Linked DNA regions of Oryzias latipes. The protein of the gene in region 1 interacts with the protein of each later gene in a biochemical or structural test. Links are inferred from orthologs where the notes say so. Each region holds a gene or a part of one and is shown in the gene's direction. Other genes may lie near its edges. The genes, in order: bcar1, tyrosine-protein phosphatase non-receptor type 12, ptpn1 and crkl.

Region 1 (5,412 bases):
ATGACAAAGATGGATAAAGGTGGAAAGATTTCATGTAATCCATGGACACCAGTGAAGATCACAAATCATTGAAGAAAAAAGGTTCAGAGCACTGTCTAGTGGGTCTAGATCAGTGTTTTTCAACCTTTTCTGAGCCACGGCACACTTTAACCTTAAAAAAAATCCCGCGGCACACCAGGATCCAAATATTTAAAAAAAAAACAAAAAAAAACGGAGAAACTCATAGTCTGTATTGATCTACAGCCCCTCCCTCCACAATCTCACATGCATTTTTTAGATAATTGTTGCAGAAAAAGCTGGAAACTGCAGCTGTTTTTTTCTAAAAGATGCAATAAAAGTTAAGTTAGACGATTTAAAAACAGTTTGATTTGTGTTCGTTGATTTCAAGACGTTTAACAACAGATCTCCTTGAGCGCTGTCACTCTCACAACCCAATGCATCATGGGAGATGTAGTGCATTAAACGGCCGGCGGAGATCGGATTTCGGAGCTTCATTGTTTTGTTCACTTGTTCCACGGTCTGATACCGGATTCTGTGGAAAGCTACACCGCTAAAGACGAGCTTTAGCTGGTATTTTTGTTAGAACTGAGAGACTTTACGAGCTAAATCGGGACAAGGAAGTGAAGACTTTAAGCACTTCTGAGCTTCCTTGTTTTGTTCACTTGTTCCACGGTCTGACATCGGATTCTGTGGGAAGCTACACCGATAAAGACGAGCTTTAGCTGGTATTTTTGTAAGAACTGAGCGACTTTACGAGCTAAATCGGGACAAGGAAGTGAAGACTTTAAGCACTTCTGATTGGTCAGACTGATGACATGTGATTAAGCTCCCCAAGAATGATTGGTGGAGACAGTTAAAGGGGCGGGACTTTTCCAAAATACAGCCGGAGCTGCAGCTGAATCGCGGTACGTCATTCTTATCAAAATGTCTTTAATAAAATAAAATAAACGCAAAGAAAAAGTATTTTACGATCTTTTATATTCCTAACTCCTCAGTGTTTTATCAGGGCCTGTTTGGATGAACACAGAGCTGAAATCCTGGAGATGGGAAATGTTTAATTTTTCAGTTAATGAGGGCAATTTCCCATGGCACACTTGACCATCTCCCACGGCACACTAGTGTGCCGCGGCACACTGGTTAAAAAACACTGGTCTAGATGACCCAACTCCCAATGTTAAAGTGCCTAGGATAGCATAAGGGTTAAAGATGCTGATGGGGTCAATAATCATTGATCATCTCAGAATGTTAAGAAGTGACCAGAACAAAACCATGCTGTGAGCACATGAGAACATGGAAAGGTCAGAGTTATTTCCTGCAGGTTCAGATTCTCAACAGATCTTCTAATGCTCCAATGTTTTGATTTTTTATGTAAACCTTACCTATAACATTAACTGCAATGAAAGCTACAGACACAACTTTAAATGTGAAGGGAAGTCCTCTTTATGCAGGGTACCTTTCCAAACAATTCTAGCAAAGCAGGCCTCCTTTGGTAGAAGCTTAGAACATTTCTAAACTTGGTCTTAAAGGAGGGTCCAGCATGATTCAACAAAAGTGGAATTCAGATGTGGGCACACACACAGAGGGCAAATCCTTCCAGGTGATTCCAGGACCGAAGCGTCATGCCGCGTGAGCTCAGCCAGTGAATCATCCTCACTGCACTTCCTGTTTTTTGAAGTGAAGAGGAGGACTTTGGCACAAGCTCGCTCAGACGCTGTTTGTAGAAAGCTAGCCCTCTGGTTTAGTCTGTCTAATTTGAAAAACATTCCTTCTCAAGAACTCTGCAACCACCTTGTTAGTTTGAGGGTCAGAGTCCCGCTGTGGCTGTTTGTCTTTTCTCCCATTCACCACTAAAGTCCTGAACAGGCATTAGGAGCTTTCAGCCACACATTTGGAGGCCTGCTCCTTGGCCTCCTTTGCGGCGCAGCGTTTTATGCAACGGGTGTCTGTGAGAGGAGCTGGCTGGCGGCCAGTACAGCCTGTACCAGTCGCTGATAAGTGGGGTGGGACTCTGACACAGAGAGGGAGGGCCGAGGTCAGACGTGAACTGCAAATATTAGCTCCCTTTCAAAGAAGCTGGAGGTGTCTCTGTTTGCTCTCCTGTGTGGACATGAATCCACTGTAAAGAAGAGGAAGCCTCAGTATGGTTCAGCGTGTGCTCAGTCTTCCATCATGTGTGGAAATCAAAGTTCTAAGATGTGGAGAAATCCAGCTGAGGCTTCTGATAAAACATGAATAGGTGCTAGTGGAATTATTAACCTGCTCGGCCTGATCAAACACTTGCAGCAGATCCGTGTCCTTGTACTCTGTCCTCTCATTGGCTGCTTGCTTATCCACTCGGGATGAGGCTGATTTGAAAAATGATTCATAATGTGGTGAAGTGACACGCCGCCTATGGCAGCTGTGTGCGTCTGTGACACTCTGTGAAGCCAGTATGTGCTGAGGCCCTTCAGAGTAAGTTTGGAGTCTTCATCAGTCATAGTGGACCAAAGGATGTCAGACAGTCTTTAATTCCAACACTGTGTTTTTATAAAAGTGTTTCACTACTGCTTCTATGCAATGCAATAATTATGTTAGAACACAGCAACAGTTAACGATCAAAGGCCACACAGCCGATAAAGAAATCAAAATAAATCAAAAATGAAGAAAAAGATCAGATCTGTCCTTCCGTGAGGGATGGTGACCATGAAGGAAATAAACGTGAATTTATACAGAATAATAGAACATGAAGTAAACTGCTTCAAACTTTAGCATGTTGTAGAAAAACCAGCAGAGACAAATGGATCTGTCAGGTTACAACTGAAACCGTGGATTTAAATATTGAGGGGAATTAACTGAACTGATGGAGCTGCACACAATTAAGTTTAAACCTGGAGGAAAACAAATGACAAATGAGCTCAAAGCATGACTGAAGACAGGACAACTGGACCAAAAAAGGCACCAGTCTTCTCACAGTGTTTCTCCTTTTCCACTCAAATATATAAAAATCTGATGAGTCTTTGGGGGGGCTTCCTGAGTCTGTTGTTGGAGCAGTTCAGAGCCTACGATGCGTAGTGATCCGTCTTTAAACCCGTGTGGTTTTAAATCGCATTCATTCTTCCTGACACTAAAGACACTAAACCCCATTGGCTGTGTAGAGTCGCCGGTACATGCTGTGTGTGTCCATGAAAAGATGGCTTTGTGTGAATGCATGAGTGTGTGTGTCACTGTGGTGTAAAGCATGTTAGTTGTTGCTATCCATTTTTTGTTGTTAATCATAATGGGTTTCTTTTTACCAACTGCAGTCCTTTGACCAGCCTTTTGAAGTGAACTTTGGTTAGATCATTCAAAGCCATTGTTTGATGGTAAGCTGTGGGCAGGTGACTTGTTGGTTAAGCACTAAAGAAGAGTCTGTTTGTCTTTCTCTCACAGAACGTTTTGGCCAAGGCCTTGTACGACAATGTGGCCGAGTCTCCGGACGAGCTGTCCTTCCGCAAAGGCGACATCATGACAGTGCTGGAGCGAGACACTCAGGGGCTGGATGGTTGGTGGCTCTGCTCTCTCCATGGACGCCAAGGCATCGTCCCTGGAAATCGCCTCAAGATCCTTGTTGGCATGTATGACAATAAGCAGCAGCAGGCCTCTCCTTCCACTCCAGATCCCACCTCTCAGGTACTGCGACCTTTTCCCACTAAGAGCGCCTATCCCAAACCATCTCTTAAACCACCTGCGGCATCTGTGGGGTTTGCAACCAAGTCCATTCCAACGGTCCAGTACACATCCATGCACCCAGCCTACTCCACTCCCAGTCCTGCACAGTCCAGCCCTGACTCTGTTTACATGATGCCTCCCTCTCATGGTCCAAAGCCAAGCTCCCAAGGTGTGTATCAGGTTCCTTCTGGTCCAAGCGGACCCTCTCCCCAGGCCCAACCAGGACCCCCCAGTAAGACAACGCCTGTAGGCCACAGGCAGTTTCAGGCGCCTGGACAGGATATCTACCAGGTTCCCCCATCTGTTGGCCCAGGGCCAGGCCAAGGAACTGCTCCACCTGCAGGTGGACAGGATGTGTACCAAGTACCCCCCTCCTTGGAGAAAAGAAACTGGGACGGCAGCAACAAACCCATTGGCAAGGTAAGAAAAAGTAGAGAAGGAAGGAAATCAGGAAATGAGGTGGAAAGTTTGAGCTGAAGTTTTATTTCCATGAAAGAGCTCAAAGGAAAACAGAGAGGTGGCACTTTAGAGCCAAACGTTTGATAACGCTGTTCCCAACTCGGCTTCTGGGTGTTTTTCAGGCAGGCATGCACACTTCCGGACATTGTTGGTTTGTGTGTTTCTTTCTGCAGAGCAAAAACTGGTAGTTCTTGTTAAACAAAAAAAATGTCTCTTATTAGGTACAGGTCATTACAATGGGCCTGCATTATCTCAACTGGATTGTACAGGCAGTCCATGACTGGGAGTAAAAGTCACATAGAAAGAACTGTGTTGTATGCCCCAGAATACAAAACTGACCTGCGTTTTCCATTCTGCGGGAGAAAACCAGCGTGAGCTGCCGTCTTGGACAGCTGTTTATCCCTTCATGACAGCGTGCACGTCATCACGTAAAACTGAAAACTGTCACAAGACATTGTCTTGTGTGTCAAAAAGACAAAAAAGCTCCACGTGACTGAAATGTTGAAGCAGATCGGACAGACTTTCAGTCAGAAAGCTTCATATTTGCCAGTGCTATAAACATGTCCACAGGCTCCAACAGTCAACATCCCTCTTTGGTTTTAATCCCATCACATAAAGATGCAGAGCTAGCTGCAGGTTTTTCTGAGATTCTGCAGGTCGAGGACCATTGGTCGTTCCACACGGTTTCTGGAAGTTCAGGGGGAAGGGGACAAACACTGGTGTCATTATGTGCGTGGAGGTGAGGTTAAGTCTGCAAGCGTGCGGGGGGGGGGGGGGGGGGGGTAAACCGCAGCCTGCTGGAGAATCCTAGGATTGTTAATAATTCAGTTGCAATGTCAGGGTTGGATGGATGTGTGCATGTCACCATGCCAGCTGGAGATGGGTTGTGTGTCCATGGTTGCTCATGTGTGTTAAAATGTGTGTGTGTTCGTGTGTTTGTGGTGAATAAAATATTTTGTTGTGGGTCTTTGCAGTTTGTTAAGCTTGTGCTATCCTATGACCCCACCCTTACATTAATGTGTTATTCCTACCATGACAAAGGTGGATAAAGGTGGAAAGATTTCATGTAATCCATGGACACCAGTAACGATCACAAATCATTGAAGAAAAAAGGTTCAGAGCACTGTCTAGTGGGTCTAGATGACCCAACTCCCAATGTTAAAGTGCCTAGGATAGCACAAGTTTGGCAAACCAAACCACGAGGAATCATCTTGGTGAGTCTTCCTGTTTTCCAAAAGCTAATAGAAAAAAACAGAATGAAAAGAA
Region 2 (6,070 bases), on another chromosome or scaffold:
TGGCCCTCCCTTCCCTACAAAGAGGTCAGAGGTCAGGGTCAGAAGGAGTGCAGGGTAACTAGAACCAGTGCTGAGAAGAGGAAATGACAGAGAGATGGATGTTAGGTTTACTTAAAATAATATTCTGCGTACAGTTTCTAGATTGGTTACAAGTGCACATGTAGAGTGGATGGGAAAACATTGGTATGGGGTCATTTAACGGTTAGAAGGAGCAGTTTTCCCCATCAAAGTCCTGGAGAACTCACAGATTATGCAATATATCTTACTACCTGTTTTATAACTGTGATCTGATAAATTAGAGGATTTGGGCTCAAACACAGACATTTTTACTTAACCCTTGTGCTATCCTAGGATCATGTAAGCCATGGAAACCAGTGAAGATCACGAATCATTGAAGAAAAAAGTTCAGCGCACTGTCTTGCGGGGTCTAGATGACCCAACTCCCAATGTTAAAGTGCCTAGGATAGCACAAGGGTTACATATTGTGTTTTAACCGTTGTGCTATCTTAGATGACCGCACCCTTACATTTACGTGTTCTTCCTACCATGACAAAGGTGGATAAAGGTGGAAAGATTTCATGTAATCCATGGACACCAGTGAAGATCACAAATCATTGAAGAAAAAAGGTTCAGCGCACTGTCTAGTGGGTCTAGATGACCCAACTCCCAATGCTAAAGTGCCTAGGATACCACAAGGGTTACATAAAGTTTCTGTTTGGCAAACTGTTTGTTTTCATATGTAATAATGAATAACTTGAATAGTACTCAGCTTAAAGAGAAAATAAAGATTTGTAAAAAAAAAGAATAACATGTTTCATGCCACAACTCCTTTCAATGATATGCATTCAAATGTGCAAAACATATGTTATATTTTTATTTTACTAGAATTATAGAATAACACTTATTGTAAGCGTTTCTGGAAAAGTATGCATATTTCTTTGTCTGCCTTATACACTCATTTGCCACAACTTAATGGGCCATTCTACCCTGAAGCAAAGTATGTTCTTTGTTAGATGAATGGGGGATTCAACTTTTACAGAATAGGTTCTCAGTTCATAAAATGATAAAGTCATGTGTTTCGCATGGGAGATCATTTTAATATGATCCAACGTTTTCCCCCTAAAAAGTAAAGGGTAGATTTTCAACTGAAATTCAAATTTACTGTGTTTTTCTTTCAAAAGGGAACAGTTTTTTGTAGTGAATCAGTTTGCTTTCATACTAACAGTATACAAATTAACATATCTAATATATTTTTGTCTTGGATTTAATTTGTACAAAAAATGAAATCAAACCCATTCAAAAACAGTTGAATAGATTGACTTTTGACAGTTTACACACATGATAAGAATAGAGCAAAATAAAAAGAAGCATGGAAAAAGACTAGAGATGGAAAAAAATAATATGGTTTAAAGGCAAGAGCAAAAACAAGCAGCTTTTGTAATTTAAAATGCTCGTGGCTCTGGGACAATGTCCTTCTCTTTTACTCAACCCTCGTCTTTTTGGTAGAACTAGAGGAAACAAAGCAAGTCAATTCTCCTTCTTCATTTGTGTGACTGGCAAAGGAGAATTCATCAGGAGTGAGTATCTTTTCATATCCTGTCCTCTGACTCTTTCCATAAAGTGATCAGTTCTTTTTTTTAGGCATAGGCTATCACAGACTAAATCAAAATTTGAGTGTCCCAATGGTAAAAAGAAAATATGTGCTTAAATACAGAATGCTTTGATAGTATATTATATTATTATTATTATCCTGCTGTTTTTTTCAAGTAAAGTTAGAACAATGTTTTTTTTTTAACGTTTTTTTGTTGTATTTTCTTTTAAATCAGAGAGGGATCTTGTTGATGTGAAACATCGTCTGTTTCCATTTTCGGCAGCCTCTAATCCAGATTATTGTTTGGATCCGTCATTCTGACTGTTTTTCTTCTTTACTCTGGTCCTCAATATTATCCTCATCACTTATTACTTCTTGAAAAACTGATCATCGCTATAAATTGTGTGTTTTTTTATTTTTCTATCCATTTCGTTTGAACATCTGATCCATGATATTCTCACGATGACTCTGCTATGGGAATTAAAATGACCGACACATGGGATGTCCAATCACAGCTGGGTATTTGGTGTGACTACACCCAGTTTAACCAATGACATTCCAGTTCTAAATTACCTTGTGACCAATCGGATCCCTCCTTTTTCGTGAAAGGGGAGGGTCTACATCTTGTTGGCTTTGCCCAGTCCGGATGTTCCCCAGTAGCGGACTAACGAGCAGCACTGTGTGAATGTGGCAATCGAGGTAGGCAGGGAGGGGTAGATTTTATGACCACACCGGTCAATTGCCCCCCCTTGCCCTCTCTCCAATATATATATACATATTTTTTTCATGTCTTAACATAGTGTTTTCTTTTTTAAATCACGCCACGGCGGTGTTTGGACAGCAGGAAAGCCGGCGACGGCTTTATTTTTGGGACTAACGGCTGTCGTAAAAACAGTCAAGAAGAAAGAAGGAAAGGAGGAAACAACATGGGGCGATAATACGAAAATGTGTTGACCGACGATGACTCCGTGGGAAGACCCGTGAAGCTTATTTATTTTTATTTATTCCCCCTTTCCCCCCTCATTTGTTCTCTTTACATACAAAAAAAACATATCTACCCCCCTTGCTAGTTTGGGGATTTTTGAAAACGCTACAAGAGGATTGAAGGATGGAGCAAGCCGGCATCCTGAGAAAGTTTATCCAAGGGGTGAAGGCCATGAGTGAAGGGGACAAGGAGAGGGGAGAGGACAACTTTGGTAGTGACTTTATGGTGAGTAAATCTGCTGGACTCTAACCTATCCTTCTCTCTCCCTCTCTTTGTTTTTTTTTAATCTAATTGGAAGTCGTCCCCATGTTTATACTTAGTCTCCACCTTTTCCCCCTTTTCGCCGACTCTCCCTCCATACCATCACCCTTCCCGTTTCTTGGTTCCTGCATCCCCCCAGGAGGAGGTGAGGTAGGGGCGGCCACACTGCCTGCCCTCTTCCTTTTCCTCTCATTTCCAGGCTTTATATGGCGGCCTAGCATTGTGTCCCGACGCACAGACACACCGCCGACTTCTGTTCTTTAAGAATTGGAATAGGGGGAATTAGCTCAACGCGTCGGTTCAAAGCCCCCTTGCTTGTGTTTTGGTGGCGCTAAGGCGGCTTATTGTGGGCTGGAGCAGATAGTCGCTTCCTCCGCTGTTAATCATGCCTGATTGTTGGCAGACAGTGCACTAGTGCTTCATTGTCCTCTCTTGTACGTTATAGATGTGGTCCACAACTATAACCATTGAATGCAGTGACAAGAAATTGCTACTAGCATATCAGCTATGCATTTTTTAGGGTCACAGTTTGCTATAAAAAATAGAAAAGTCTAAATATTACAACTTAAAAATGTCATCAGAAATACTTAAAGCAGCATTAAAGATCATTATAAAACAAAATGACTCTGTAAACTTACAAAATGTATTGACCTGCTTGGTTTTTTGCTTATATCTATTTAACATACTTGAAAATATTATAAATGAAGGTTTGTTTACCAAATTAGAAAGCTGGTTGGAGTTTAGCTTTTTGATGGCTGCAAATCGGTAGTTCAAAGAATGTTCTTGGTATATAAAAGAAAAAAAAGAAAAAAAAGAGGGATGTCGAAATTTTGGAATCTAAATGAAGCTTCTTCCACTCCCTGACTTGTGAAATGACTTTCTGTAATAACATTTAGCATGAGGTGGACCTTTTAGGGCAAAGTTTAGGCTAAAATAAGTCGAGAAACTCTTCTATGACCAATTATTTCAATATATCCGTCATTGCATTGTTCCAACTATAGATAGAAGATGCTGTTACTCTTTTACGTTTTGTTTAAATATTGAGTTTGTTGTCTCCAAGAAAGAGGTTAATCAGCATCAGCTAACTTTTGCCCCCTCTGTCTACACTTGCAGAAACGCACACACACACGCACACACCTTACTTCCATGCTTCATGCAAGCAGCTTGCTGTAGCTTGCAACATTCTTTCTTGGCCTATTACAAAACATTTTGTCCTGGCTTTAAAAGTGGAGCTTTGTCAACAAATCTCACACTTTGAATCACTGCTTTAAGGAAGACAGAACCATAATTAAATAAATAAAAAATTAAAAAATATAAAAATGCTATCTTAGTCTTGTTTTGTTGCTGTTGCGTTCATTAGTTGGTCTGTGCTTTGAGGATTCTGTAAACAAGGGGCTGATAGGTGTTGCGCAAAGCAGACTGAACTGTCTGTGCAAGACATTCAGGAAGTTATGGAAGAAAGTGTTTTAAAAAAAAAGAGCTATAATTTGATTATGTTTTTAATTTTGTTCTTCCACCTTGCAGAGACTTTTAGTGTATTTTGGTTGTAAAATATGTACAGTAATAAACTTCTACTGTGACACACATTTCATGCTTATCCTCATGCTGCCTCACAACTTCCATATTGTTACTGCCTGTTTCACTGCTTTGGAAGCTAACACATGAAGCATGTGAGGATCCATTCTTTACCAATTGGTGAAGCCTAAACGTTTTCATGTATATAGGGTGGGCTTTTCTGAACAGTGCCTCACCAGAGCGCCCTGACATAACTGTACTCTAACCGCCTATTGTTGTTTATATATAGAACGTGTTATATAGACATAATTGCAGGTTGCGTTAGGGCAAAGAGTCAAGATTATACACTTTGTTCAGCAGCCGTTTTAAGCAATTTGATGGAGCAGAATTGCTTTAGATGTTTTTTTATAATCCAGTGTTGAAATCTAAGAAGTGTCCTGTGGAGTTAAGTTATTGTCTTGTCAAGTCTGTTCCTATATGCGACCGTATAACCCATTTAATTGCTGGAGTTGTCTTTTTGCAGGGAGGTTTCTATTTCTGTGGTGTTCGGAAAGAAATAAATTACATAGAAAATACCTAAGGGTGAGGACAGAGGAAACAGGATTTTTTTTTTTTTTAATTGTTAAATTTTAGATCATTGTTATACTTTTAGTGAATTTCTTCTATTTTGTATTAGAGATAAGAAGAAAACTCCAAAAAACAAATTTAGTCTGTGAATTCACCCACAAAATTAAGGTTGAAGTTAACATAATTCAAGTTTTAATTCCATGGAAACATTTTTAAACCAACTTTAAAATGTTGTGGTTTATTTCAGAAACTTTTAATTGTGTAAAAAGCAGTTTGTGTATCGGTAAGTCTCTCCCATGACACAGCTCCCGCAAAATTGCTACATCTGGATGGATGCTGCTTCTGCAAAACCAAACCTTGAAAATCATACTTGTTTCACAAGAGAGCTTATCAGCTGGTCCAGTCAAGCTGCAACTTTTCCACCCAGCTATTAGTGCATGTGTTAATAAACATGGACAGTTTTGCACTGATGGCACGTTCATGGATACACGTTGAGACAAAGATGTTGGTTATTGTTTCTTGATGGAGGAAAAAGGGCAAAAATAGAGCTGATAAAGCTATATTAGTCACCAGGTGACAGTAAAGTAGATTAAGACGTCATGGTATAAACAAAAATTAAAAAGAAAAATTTACTTCAAAGCCAAATATAAAAAATATAAGCAAATAAAAAATATACATTCATACATTTTAATTTAGGGAAAACAAATTAATAAAAACTCCAAAGCCATTTAATGTTTTTAGATGTTTAAAAGAAGCAAATGTTGTATGTGCCACAAAAGACCAAATTCTCTGCATTTGTAACTGAACGTTTCTAGGTCTGTGATCTGTGTTGGTTGTTTTCAAGCAAGTTAAATTTTACTGATTGTTGTAATTGAAGGCTCCATGTTATTTTGTTAAGTTGGTCAATTTGTATGCGTTGTATTTGAAAATATATTGAGGTCTTTAGCTGTACCATCAGCAACATTTATGATAAAATAATGTCGTACAAGGATAGTTGCTTGAGACTTAGCAGATTTTAAAGGTCAATGTACTTATGAGGTTTGGCAGCAGATTAAGCTAGAAAAAGTTAAAGAAAATGTTTAGTTGGATTGTTTTGAGACTTTAAATGTTATAATGTGACAGACTCTATGTAAAGAACTGGACCTAGAATT
Region 3 (5,412 bases), on another chromosome or scaffold:
GATAAGTTTACAAGAACTGCATGTCAATCACAGTTTAAAGACCCACTCCGATGAAAATTGTGCTTCTGCTGTTTGTTTTTTTTGAACATGTGCTTGTGGCATTTACCGGCATTTGTTACGTAGAAAACAAAAGCTTCCTGCTCCGCTGCATTCTGGTGCATCCACTTCAGACAAATGGATGCATGTACGTCTTTGTTTTCCTCGTCTCAGCTGGCATCTGGATCAAAACTCTACGGCTGGATAGCCCAGATATTCCTCGCCATTTTTGTTGCACCGGTAATGTTAGGTTGGGGTTGTGAGGGGCTGTAAGCTAGTTGGAGAGTGTAAACCGATAGGTTACAGGATTTAGGGAAGGGATTGCTCCGTGCTCTGCAAAAACTATGTTCTAGAAAATTTGATTCAATTTATTGATTTATTTCAAGCATTGTAGTCAAAGCAATAAAGAATTTACACATCTTATCAAACTCATGACAGAAATGTTGAAATGCATAGATTAATAAGACAGAAAATAAAACAAAAAGTCACATAAATCACATTTGCTTAATTAAATACAGTGATCATTAACTAAAGTCACGTAGAGCTTGATTTATTGCTTGAAAGGGAGCGGGAAGAAGCAAATTTATATAATCCCACCCCTGCTGAGTTAATTCATTTGATAGTTTTACATAGTTTTGGTAATTTGGTTCTGATTCGATACATTCTTTTTGAGTAAAAAGATCCTGTGCCTATTAATGATTTATCTTCAGAAAACATTTACCGGTATTCATGACTTTAGTAAACAGTTAACGGTAACATTATGTAATAATCATTGATTATTAGAACACAATATCACATTAAACCAGTAATTATTGCTACACATTCAGATCAAGTAAAGAAAATCAATAGCTTATTGATTGTAATTTAAACATTTCAGTGATCATTATTGCACATTACAATGTAATAATCATTGATTGTAATTAAAAGAGCTTTGATTATTTCACCACAATCAAGTTCAAACATTTATTTGGAATTATTCAAACACCTGTTGATCCTTAACTCTTCTTATCTTTATATCGTGAAATCAGAGTTTCTTTATACCTTTTCTTGAATATTTGAATATTTTTTTAGCTCATTACTAAACCCGTTCCAAAATTTAGTGCCACACACCGACACAGAGAAACATTTCTTTGTGATTCTTATCAATTTGATCTTGAAGTTCCTACATCCCCTCAGTCTGTAGCCTCCTTCATTTTCTAAAAACTGTTTTTGGATATTGAATGGTAACGATTTACCACTGACTCGTATAAAGGTTGCGCACTGTAAAAATCCACAAGGTCATACAGTTTTCAAAGTCTGGATTCATAAAATAAATTGTATGATCAAGATAGCCAGCTTTATGACGGCTCGTTTTTGAAGTAAAAGATGTAGTGAGCTCTTGTAATCATTCCCCAGATTTCTATACAGTAGGTGAAATATGGCAATATTAAACAGTACAATACATATCTTCAGTTTTATTGTAAAATGTATTTGGATTTACTTATAACTGAAATACTTTGTGAGACTTTAGTTTGTATGTGTCTGATGTGCAGCTTCCAACTTAGTTTGTCATCGATAACAAGCCCTAAGAACTTGTAACATCTGTAACACTTTCAATTAGGGCATTATTTATTTATTTCAACTGAGAGCTCGGTACTGGCGTTGTAGTTACCAAAAACATCACTTTGGTTTTATCTAGGTTCCAAGATAATTTGTTGTAATCCATCCATGATTTTATTTTGGTTAACTCTGTGTTTACCACATGTTCCCTATGATTGTCTGTAGAATAGAATATGTTTGTGTCATCAGCCAATAATGAGTTTCATAAGCTTTGAAACATTGAATATATCCTTTATGTATATATTGAATTGCAGCGGGCCCAGAATTGATCTTTGTGGGACACCTCAACTTATCTCAAAATGACACATGTTTTTTTGATATTGGGTCAAATGGCATATTGATAATTAAAAGACCACTGGGAACGTTTTTAAAATAGGTCAAACGATGATCTGAGTGAGACAAAATACAAAATATCTTCACTGTATTTTTTTATGCAACTGTGACCATAAAACGGAGAAATGTAATGTTTTTTTTGTGACTTTCATCTAAACTTAAATTTTAGCTTTGATGCTTTTGATTGTTGCATTTGTCTATAGTTACACAATCCCTGCTTTTGTTCGGCTGCCTAACACATCCCGCTGCTCCTCCTCCCGCAGACTCAGGAGACGCGGGAGATTCTACATTTTCACTACACCACCTGGCCAGACTTTGGGGTACCAGAATCTCCCGCCTCTTTCTTAAACTTCCTGTTCAAGGTGAGGGAGTCCGGCTGTCTGAATTCCGACCAGGGACCAGTGGTGGTGCACTGCAGCGCTGGCATTGGGCGCTCTGGGACCTTCTGTCTCGTGGACACCTGCCTCTTGTTGGTTTGTACCCAAACTTCATTTGTGATTGACATTGTTCAGGACGTTTTGAGAATTAAGAAGCTGAAGCGTGACTATAAAGATGTGGAACATGGAGGCTGACGTCCTGCATGCCTTTGCTGTTCAGATGTCTCTTCGTAAGGACCCATCCTCTGTGCGTATTCGCGACGTGCTGCTCGAGATGCGTCGCTATCGAATGGGCTTGATACAAACTGCAGATCAGCTTCGCTTTTCTTACCTGGCTGTAATAGAAGGTGCCAAGTACATCAAAGGGGATGTATCTCTGCAGGTAACTTCTTGTCGTCCTCTCCCCTGCTCAGATGTTTGCAGGCTGTTGTCAGATGCACGTCGATAACTTCAAGCATCTTGCTTTTAAGGAGTCGTGGAAAGAGCTCTCAAATGAGGAAGACGACCCTCCAGAGTTCACACCTCCCCCTCCTCTTCCTCCTCCGAGGGACCCTTACAACGGGAAAACCGGGAGGTCCTTTTTCCCTGAACATGTAGAGATCATCCCTGAGATGAGGATTCCCACTCTTGGGTAATATTTTCAACCATGTTCTGATTCTGTGAACAAAGGTTGACTTCCATGGCTGCTTTTTATTGAACAGAAATGCATTTCAATAGTGAGGTTTACTTTGAATGAGGGCTTGATACTCAAAAAGGAAGAAAACAAAACATCCTTACATCCGTCATCACAGACCTGAGCTTGTCCCCCCCCCTCAATTTAACCCTTAATGTCCATTGATAAAGTGATGGAGAAGCTGCAGACAAGATGGTGCCTGACATCATCATCCGGAAGCAGAAATTATACAACTAACCCTAACCCAAAAGTGTTTAGAGTTGGAAAAAGTAAACTTTTATTAAAGCTTAAAACAGGAAAAATGGTAACTCTTGGCGCCGCCAGTAAAATAGTTTTCTTCGAGCGATATGGGGAGACTTCTGGTTGAGGAGTTCCGGTTTTGGCAGTTGATGTCTGCAGCTAGGTCCTCTTGCACTGATGATGTTGAGAGCTTACCTTTATTTTGGAGCTGCCACTGGATGACGGCCGCTTCCAGCTGGATTTGTTTTTGATGACTTGCTGTCCCACAACAGTCCGAAGAAGGCAAAAATCTAAAATAAGAATGAAATTTGAGGATGTTTTTACTACAGTCTCGATACAAATAAAAAAAAAACATAAAGTTCAGGAGCAGCTCAACAATCAACTCCTTCCAATTTATTTGTTTGGAGGATAAGCCCCTTGAGATGTGTCATCTCGTTTTCAAGGGGGTCCTCAACATACAACAAAACAAGCAAATGCCGACAGATACAGTTGAGCAAACTTTACATATGTCAAAACAGAGAAAAACTTAAAATTTCCAAAACAACGAGCAGACACACACACATACCCACACACACACAAACATTGACATTTAATGCTCCTACTAGCAGTTAGTTTAAGGTAAGGAAACAAAAATAATAAATAAAAAGCAGAAAAGAAATCACTCCTCCATGTTGGTTTTGGACTCCAGCCGCTGTTCACATCATGAAGTCGTCACTGCCAAAGCTTCAAAATGCACCGCAGGACTTCCTATCACATCAGCACAATAACTTATCCCTGAAAGGCCCCTGCCACACAAATCTCGTTTTAGAGCTGATCGCCCTTGTCAAACCTGAAAGTCCTCATTAGGTTGTTGTAGAAGCTGTGGAACTGTAGGGCAGCTCTGGCAGAAGAAGCAGTGATGCAGAACCTCCCATCAGTGCAGCGTGACTGAAAGGAGCTGGAGCCTGTGAGGGATCTTTGCTAGAATGACGGCATGCCGATCCTTCAGCCGTCAGCTGCAAACTGCTTGCTGCACGTCATTTCGCATGTTGTAGCTTGCAGTTTGCTCAAGCAGGAGTTAATTTTGTTTTTTCAAACTGTCAATATCAAATATGCATTGATGTGCGACTTCTATTACTTCAACAGTGACGCATTTTGTAAAAAAAACAAACAAACATGAAGATCTTTTCAGGATAAGACAGTGATCCAACAGTCATGCTTTGGAATATTTGAACCTCAGACTCTGTTTCAGTATTTTGAGGTCATTTGTATTTGGAGAGCAACCAGATTCTCCTTCATGTTGGTTTTTTGACTCTACTCGCTGATCGCATCATCAACGCCTCACAGCCAAAGCTGAGTCGCTGATTGGTTGACGCAAAGCAAATTCTTCACCAAAGTTCAAGTTCTCGTCTGTACGTTGACTTAATATTAAAACTGCGCACATCGCGTTCAGTGTGAACGCAGCTTTAGTCACATGCACCCAAACAGGGGTCCTTACGTTGTTGGTAAGGTGCGAGCACTGGCTCCTTACTGACCACTGAATGCTGCACGCATTGGATGAGCAGGTGACGCGCAAGTGCCTGTGGGTCGGACGTCCACACAAACAACACTCTGTTTGATTTCCACATTTCTAACAGCCAGGCTGCTCACAGAGGCTTTACAAACCTGTACGGGGCATGCAGGAGGGCTGCACAAATGTTGTACAGGCCACCTGCATGCCCCGTACAGGTTTGCCCATTTTTCACCAGGAGACAGCCCGCATTTACCCGTAAGGAGGTCAGCAGAGGGAAGTGTGAAGCACTCTTGGACTGAGTAAAGCACAGCAAACCAACAGCAGAGGTTCTTGAAAACCTCTTGATCCATATTTCTCAAATAAAACAACTTTTAGTCATAATATACTGGAATGCACATATATATAAATAAACCTTTATTCAGAGGTTTACTGGGTTGATCCTTGGCTGGGAATTTTTTTCTCATTTTGGCTGTTATGTGCATGAAATGAGAAGCAAAACTTCACAATCTGACACTGTTCTCCCATTCAGGTTGTCACGAGACGGAGATGTTCGCAAGAGGAACATAGCTGACCCCCAGCCCCCTTCAGGCGGTGATGATCTGCCGGATGTGGAAGAAGCTCCCTCCAAGCCTTTAAGGAAACCCCATCAGCAGTGGGAGGAA
Region 4 (5,412 bases), on another chromosome or scaffold:
TGAGAGCTCCCAGAAGGAAGCTGGAAATGAGTGTGGAAGGAAATCAACAGTTTGCGTCAATTTCTATCTCCATCAAGGAAGCTTTTTTTTCAGGAGCAACAAAGTATTCCATTCCTAGATTACACTATTTAAAAAAAAAAAAAAAATTTGAAATGAATAAAGTGTAAACTTGTACATTTTTTTTTCTACTGTAAACTGGGGCTTCCTTTGCCCCAACTGTGACATTTTTGCCCTATTTTCTTACCTTGTTGGGGGAGGGGATGTTTTCGTCACCCCCTGGCTTGTCTATTTTATCAGCATTGGTAATACATGATCTTGAATGAAGTTTTTAAGTCCTGTGTCTTAATGAAGGCAATTAATTATGAGCTAAAGGTTTGGGTTAAGTTTATTAGCTACAGTTGTGAGTTTTATCAGTTTGGGTTTTAGCAACAACAACAAAAAGATAGTGTTTCAAAAAACTAGGCTGCTTTACATTTAGATTTTTCTAAGGAACTTTATTGAAATGACAATGCAAAATAGAATAGTAATGAAACTAAATCTCCACTGATGTTTTTAAATGTTGCCGTTTTGACTATTTTTTCCTCAGATGGTTAACACATGAAACTTGTGTGTGTAGAATATACCTTAAATCTGTCGCCATCTCTTTGGAAGTGGGTCACATGTGCTGACCCAACCCCTTTTATTCACTCTGCTGTATACAAACTCTCCAGCCTCTGTTATTTTTGCCTTAAGCTGCACAGCAGCTAACGAGAATCCGAACATGAAGCTTTTCTGTGTTTTCCTTTCAGTTTGACTCATTTATCTCCTACTTGTTTAGTTCTGACAGCACATACCTTATTCTGTTGCATCATGTCTTTCCTCCCATCAGCCTCTGTTTTGGGAAGAAGTCATAGCTCGCAGCCTAATAACATTTTTTTTTGTGTCATTATTGTCTTGTTGCTCACGTTAGGGGAAACTGCACAAAGCATGTAGAACTGAACTTCGTTTCTTTGAAGTAAGATGATTGGATGGATTTTTTTGTTTGGTTTTTGTCGTTTGATGCCACGGACATGTGACATGCTTTTAACCCACGGCATTCACACTTGACAAGCAGGGAGGGGCTACTTTTTCAACTGTTTACTAGCACTTATCCGCAACCTAAAGTTGGAAGAGGTTTGTTGGGCATGAACAGTTTGGCACTTCCTTGACTTAAACGGGACGCCATCCAATACGTCACTGCCAAATCCGAATCCCTGATTGGCCGAAGTTCGACGTTGTTTTACCTTCAATGGCCGCCCGCACGTATGTGGAGCCTGAAAGCGGTCTCAAAAATATTGCGTAGCTATGCGTGATTTTTGCTCACGGAAGCCCAGATGTGGATTTACGCACATTTCCATTGACTTTTCATTGGATGAGGCCACTTGAATGTTTGTTGCAGAGGGCAGTGTGAGCGTAGCTTGACAGTTTTTCAGGCTAAAGCTTTAGTTTCATTCTTCTTATTCCAGCTTTATGTCTTTGTTGTTAACCTGTCCTTTTATTTCTATGCTCCTATGTTCATAATTTGGACTGTGGGACCGGGTGTAGCTAAATGATGCTAAAGCTAAAGAGGGGATGTGTTCAAACTTTCAGTTTCCCTTTAATGTTGTCACCAGGGCTGCATGTTGTGAGAAAAATGAACACAATAAAGCTCCATTCGATTGGTCAACGGTCTCCCTGTGCCTGTCCCCAGCCCAGATAAAATACAGGGTTGTGTCTGGAAGGGCAAACTCTTTGACAAACCACCTGTGCTAAGTAGAGAAAACTGATTGGCTGTGGCCACCCCCTAAAGCTAGAGCTGTGACGGTTTGGGATTTTTGATCACCGCGGTGATGAGCAGCACGAGTCATGGTGTTGGGACTCTTGCCCCCCCAAAAAACACAAAATCCTCTGGCGGGCGGCCGCGTCGCACACTCAAGAATGCAAGTTGTAATGGAAATGAATACAATGGAAATTCCCCCAGAAGACCTTGAAGTTTGAACACAGAACTCGCAGAAAAAGTTAATAATTAGCAAAGATGAATGTGTGAATGTGTTTATCATAGTTCAAATCACGCACCATATGCAGAACTTTCAAAAAAGAATTTAAAAAAGAGGAACGTGCAGTGATGAGTCATCAACGCAGCGATCATCTCATCACCGCGGTGATACGGTTACCGTCACACCCAAAACTAAAGCACATGTGTCAAACTCAAGGCCTGGGGGCCAAATGTGGCCCTCCATGTCATTTTATGTGGCCCGCGAGAGCATAAAAGTTTTTAATTTCGTAGAATAATAAATAGAAATTGGAGTGCATTTATTCATATCTAGGGGGAATTGAACTTGAAATATCAGATTGGGTAACTATACATTAAGGCTTAAACACTGTCCATATAACCTAACCTGACAGAATCAAATGTAAAAGGATTTATGTTAGAGTAACAAGCAAACATGTTTTCTATGCAACTGTAATTGTCACTTTAAAAAGTTATAATAAACAAATGAGTCATTTGACATTAAGTTACATTACATTTAGTTACATGTATAAGTCATATCTGGCCCTTTGAGGACAGCCACTCTGCTGACGTGGCCCTCGGTGAAAATGAGTTTGGACCCCCCCCCCCGGTTTAAAGGAATATGTCTAAAGATCAACGCCGTGCGGGTTCATCCGATTGGTCAAATGGGATTTATTTGATTTGTTAGAAACTTCAAGCTGCCATGAGATTGTCTTGCATGTATGTAAACATTTAAAGTAACAATTTCTTGCTGGTTATGCTGTCTTTTGGGATATCGGCTGATAACACTTTTAAAGCGCTTCTTTTGTACTTATGTCATGTGATCAAGCCCAACTGAGGTGGACGTGGAGGTCTTGCAGCGTAGTCATTGGTTGCTTCTCTCTCCTCACAGGTCGGCGACATGGTCAAAGTTCTACGGATGAACATCAGCGGTCAGTGGGAGGGCGAGGTGAACGGACGCAGGGGGCACTTTCCCTTCACTCATGTCAAAATCGTAGACCCGCTGAACCCGGACGAGGGGGACTGACGCGACCCTGGATGCCCCACCTGTCCCGCCAGCGTCACAGTAACGAGCTTGTCTGCTTGATGTGGGGCGGGGGGTTAGCCAGCTGTCACCGGGCTTTTAAAGAGTTTACAGCTGTGGTCTCAAATGTGACCCTCCTTCCTCAGCTCCCGTTTTCAGGTTTTAGTTCCAGGCTGGGCAGTTTATCTCCTCCTCTTCATCAGTCTCTTTTTATTTCCACATGACAGTGCATCAGACTGAAAGTTGTATGGAAACGTCCATGTGTAGTTTTTAACAATTTAGACCATGCTTTTGAAAAATCAAGATATGGAAAATAATCTGGATTTGGTAGGAAACAAAATCGATGAGGAACAAGCCAGCCATTATTTCTCCAATCCTTCTAGTCGCCGTTGAAGCGGAGCCATCCGCAGACACGCACACATCATTGGTCGGATTCTTCCAATGGTTTCTGCCTCCACCTTCCTGATGGGGCGTGGCACGGCCGGGGTGGCGGTTCATCTGATCGGTGCCATAAGATCAACCTCTTCCTCTTCGTCTGTTGGAGGGCGGACTCTGAATTCTGTCGGTACCGATGGCGTCTGATGATTTTTCTTTCTTTTTTTCCTTCTTCTTTACCGATAAAGCTTAAAGGTTATAAAGTTCTTCGTGCTAACGGCTTTCAGCTCTAAAAGACTTTGAACACGCCGCATAGGAGTGCCAATTTGAATAAGATTTCAAATAGCAATGTATTTGCCAAAAACATCTGACTACTATCGAAACAAAAGATATGGTTTAGCGTTTCATCTTGACTTTAAGTGTTAACCTCTTTAAACATTTGGTCCGGTTTTATTTACGTCCAAAAAACCATGAAAACTCCTAATTCTGCCATAATGCCCCCTTCCTCCTCCTCCTCCTTAGCCGTTCACTCAAGTTGTGCAGCTTAAGTTGTTTTTCTTTTCTGTTTCATGTGTTTTTTTTTTGTCCTGCTTTTAAGTGGATTATTTCAAAATGACTATTGTTAAAAATCAAAAAGGACATTAAAAAAATCAAATAAAGGGAATTCCAAATGCCTGCTGGTTGCCTCTGTGCATGACCTCTTGGCCGGGGAGTTGGTCAAATGCTGCTTTTTAAAATTTATCTCTTCATTAAATAAAAGATTTATCTTTTTTTTTTCATCCTAGCTGGGTTCTGTTTGTCAGGATTTAATGAATTCTAATTAAGCAATACAACTTAGTTTTTATTTTTATTTCCATATTTCTGGTCTTGCTTCTGATTTTTTGTTTTGTTTTGTATTGGCATTAACAGTATTACTGTTCTTCTATTTTAGGAAAACCTGTCTTGTACTTCAGAATTGAAAATTGTGCCTTTTTAATTTCTTACACTATGTAACATGTGTTAATATTTCCCATGGTTCTTACCTCTGCCGGTATTGACCCTGTATGTACAGAGCAAGTAAATAAAATTTACGTCTACTTCTTTAAACCGCGTTCCTCGTCTGTCCGCGGGGCAGGAGGAGGGGGCGGGGCCCGTTTGTGGAGCGCGCCGCGGGGCGGCCCCTCTGTTTTCCGACAGCTCCACTTCTGGAGTCTGCTGCGCCCAGGAGAAGGGAAGCAATTAATGCATTTTAATGAAGTGCTAAGAAAAGAACGTCAGCTGACCCCGAAGAGATGCGGAACAGAAAAACTTTTGAAGGGCAGTTTCCGTGTGTTCAGCACTTTTCAGCTAATTCTATTCCTCTTGGACTATTTAAAACTATGTATAAATTAAAGTGATTCCTTCCTCCTCCCTCTGTTATGACTGCCTTTCTACAGGAACATTGATTTGTTGTGACACATTTTTAGGAACTTTTCTGCTATTCCTGGCAACCAGAACACAAAGTTTCTCATCTTGGTGTCATTATTTGAGACCTAAAGGACCAATTCAAAAACATCATCAAATGCCGGCAGTCTGCAAACAATCCAATAAACAGTTTCACGCTCCGCTCCTCCCCTCATGTATCAGTATTGTAGATTAGCATTCCCTCACCAGCTTTAGCCAGAACCAGGTCAAAGGAAAAGGGGTCGACCTGGACCGAAGACGGCCACGTAAACAACTTTGGGATGGAAAAAAAAGGAGGGAACAGGTGATGGAATCTGAATACAAGTAGGTGGGATTTCATTTGACTTGGCCTGCGTTTATGTGATGAGGCTGAGTGAGGCCAATAATCCATACATCCTGGGTTAAATTGTCCTTCTAGCTAATCGATGTATTCCTGTAGATGGCGGGTGATTGTAACTCCAGTGCAAATAACTGTAATGAATCAAACTTAGTGGAGTCTGACCTCTCCTTAGGGCACACGCCGTGTGTGTGTGTGTGTGTGTAAATGGATGTGTGGCATGGTCGATGAAGGCATTCCTGCAGT

The links.
Region 2: the proteins of bcar1 (region 1) and tyrosine-protein phosphatase non-receptor type 12 form a complex in vitro, tested with the Homo sapiens proteins (3 studies listed by BioGRID and IntAct, with this or other methods). The link is inferred for Oryzias latipes from reciprocal best matches to the Homo sapiens genes BCAR1 and PTPN12.
Region 3: the proteins of bcar1 (region 1) and ptpn1 form a complex in vitro, tested with the Homo sapiens proteins (3 studies listed by BioGRID and IntAct, with this or other methods). The link is inferred for Oryzias latipes from reciprocal best matches to the Homo sapiens genes BCAR1 and PTPN1.
Region 4: the proteins of bcar1 (region 1) and crkl interact in a test that uses a peptide from one of them, tested with the Homo sapiens proteins (2 studies listed by BioGRID, with this or other methods). The link is inferred for Oryzias latipes from reciprocal best matches to the Homo sapiens genes BCAR1 and CRKL.

Annotation. Positions count from the first base shown.
Region 1 is NC_019864.2:4,918,424-4,923,835, forward strand, and holds part of bcar1 (breast cancer anti-estrogen resistance protein 1), read left to right. Parts: intron 1-3,408; coding exon 3,409-4,107; intron 4,108-5,412. UniProt on the Homo sapiens protein: Docking protein which plays a central coordinating role for tyrosine kinase-based signaling related to cell adhesion. Implicated in induction of cell migration and cell branching. Involved in the BCAR3-mediated inhibition of TGFB signaling.
Region 2 is NC_019881.2:13,834,648-13,840,717, forward strand, and holds the start of tyrosine-protein phosphatase non-receptor type 12, read left to right. Parts: upstream 1-2,228; 5' UTR 2,229-2,699; coding exon 2,700-2,801; intron 2,802-3,554; exon of another isoform or gene 3,555-3,623; intron 3,624-6,070. UniProt on the Homo sapiens protein: Dephosphorylates a range of proteins, and thereby regulates cellular signaling cascades. Dephosphorylates cellular tyrosine kinases, such as ERBB2 and PTK2B/PYK2, and thereby regulates signaling via ERBB2 and PTK2B/PYK2.
Region 3 is NC_019865.2:21,848,542-21,853,953, forward strand, and holds part of ptpn1 (tyrosine-protein phosphatase non-receptor type 1), read left to right. Parts: intron 1-2,231; coding exon 2,232-2,441; intron 2,442-2,565; coding exon 2,566-2,727; intron 2,728-2,815; coding exon 2,816-2,976; intron 2,977-5,279; coding exon 5,280-5,412. UniProt on the Homo sapiens protein: Tyrosine-protein phosphatase which acts as a regulator of endoplasmic reticulum unfolded protein response. Mediates dephosphorylation of EIF2AK3/PERK; inactivating the protein kinase activity of EIF2AK3/PERK.
Region 4 is NC_019870.2:17,508,344-17,513,755, forward strand, and holds the end of crkl (crk-like protein), read left to right. Parts: intron 1-2,900; coding exon 2,901-3,035; 3' UTR 3,036-4,493; downstream 4,494-5,412. UniProt on the Homo sapiens protein: May mediate the transduction of intracellular signals.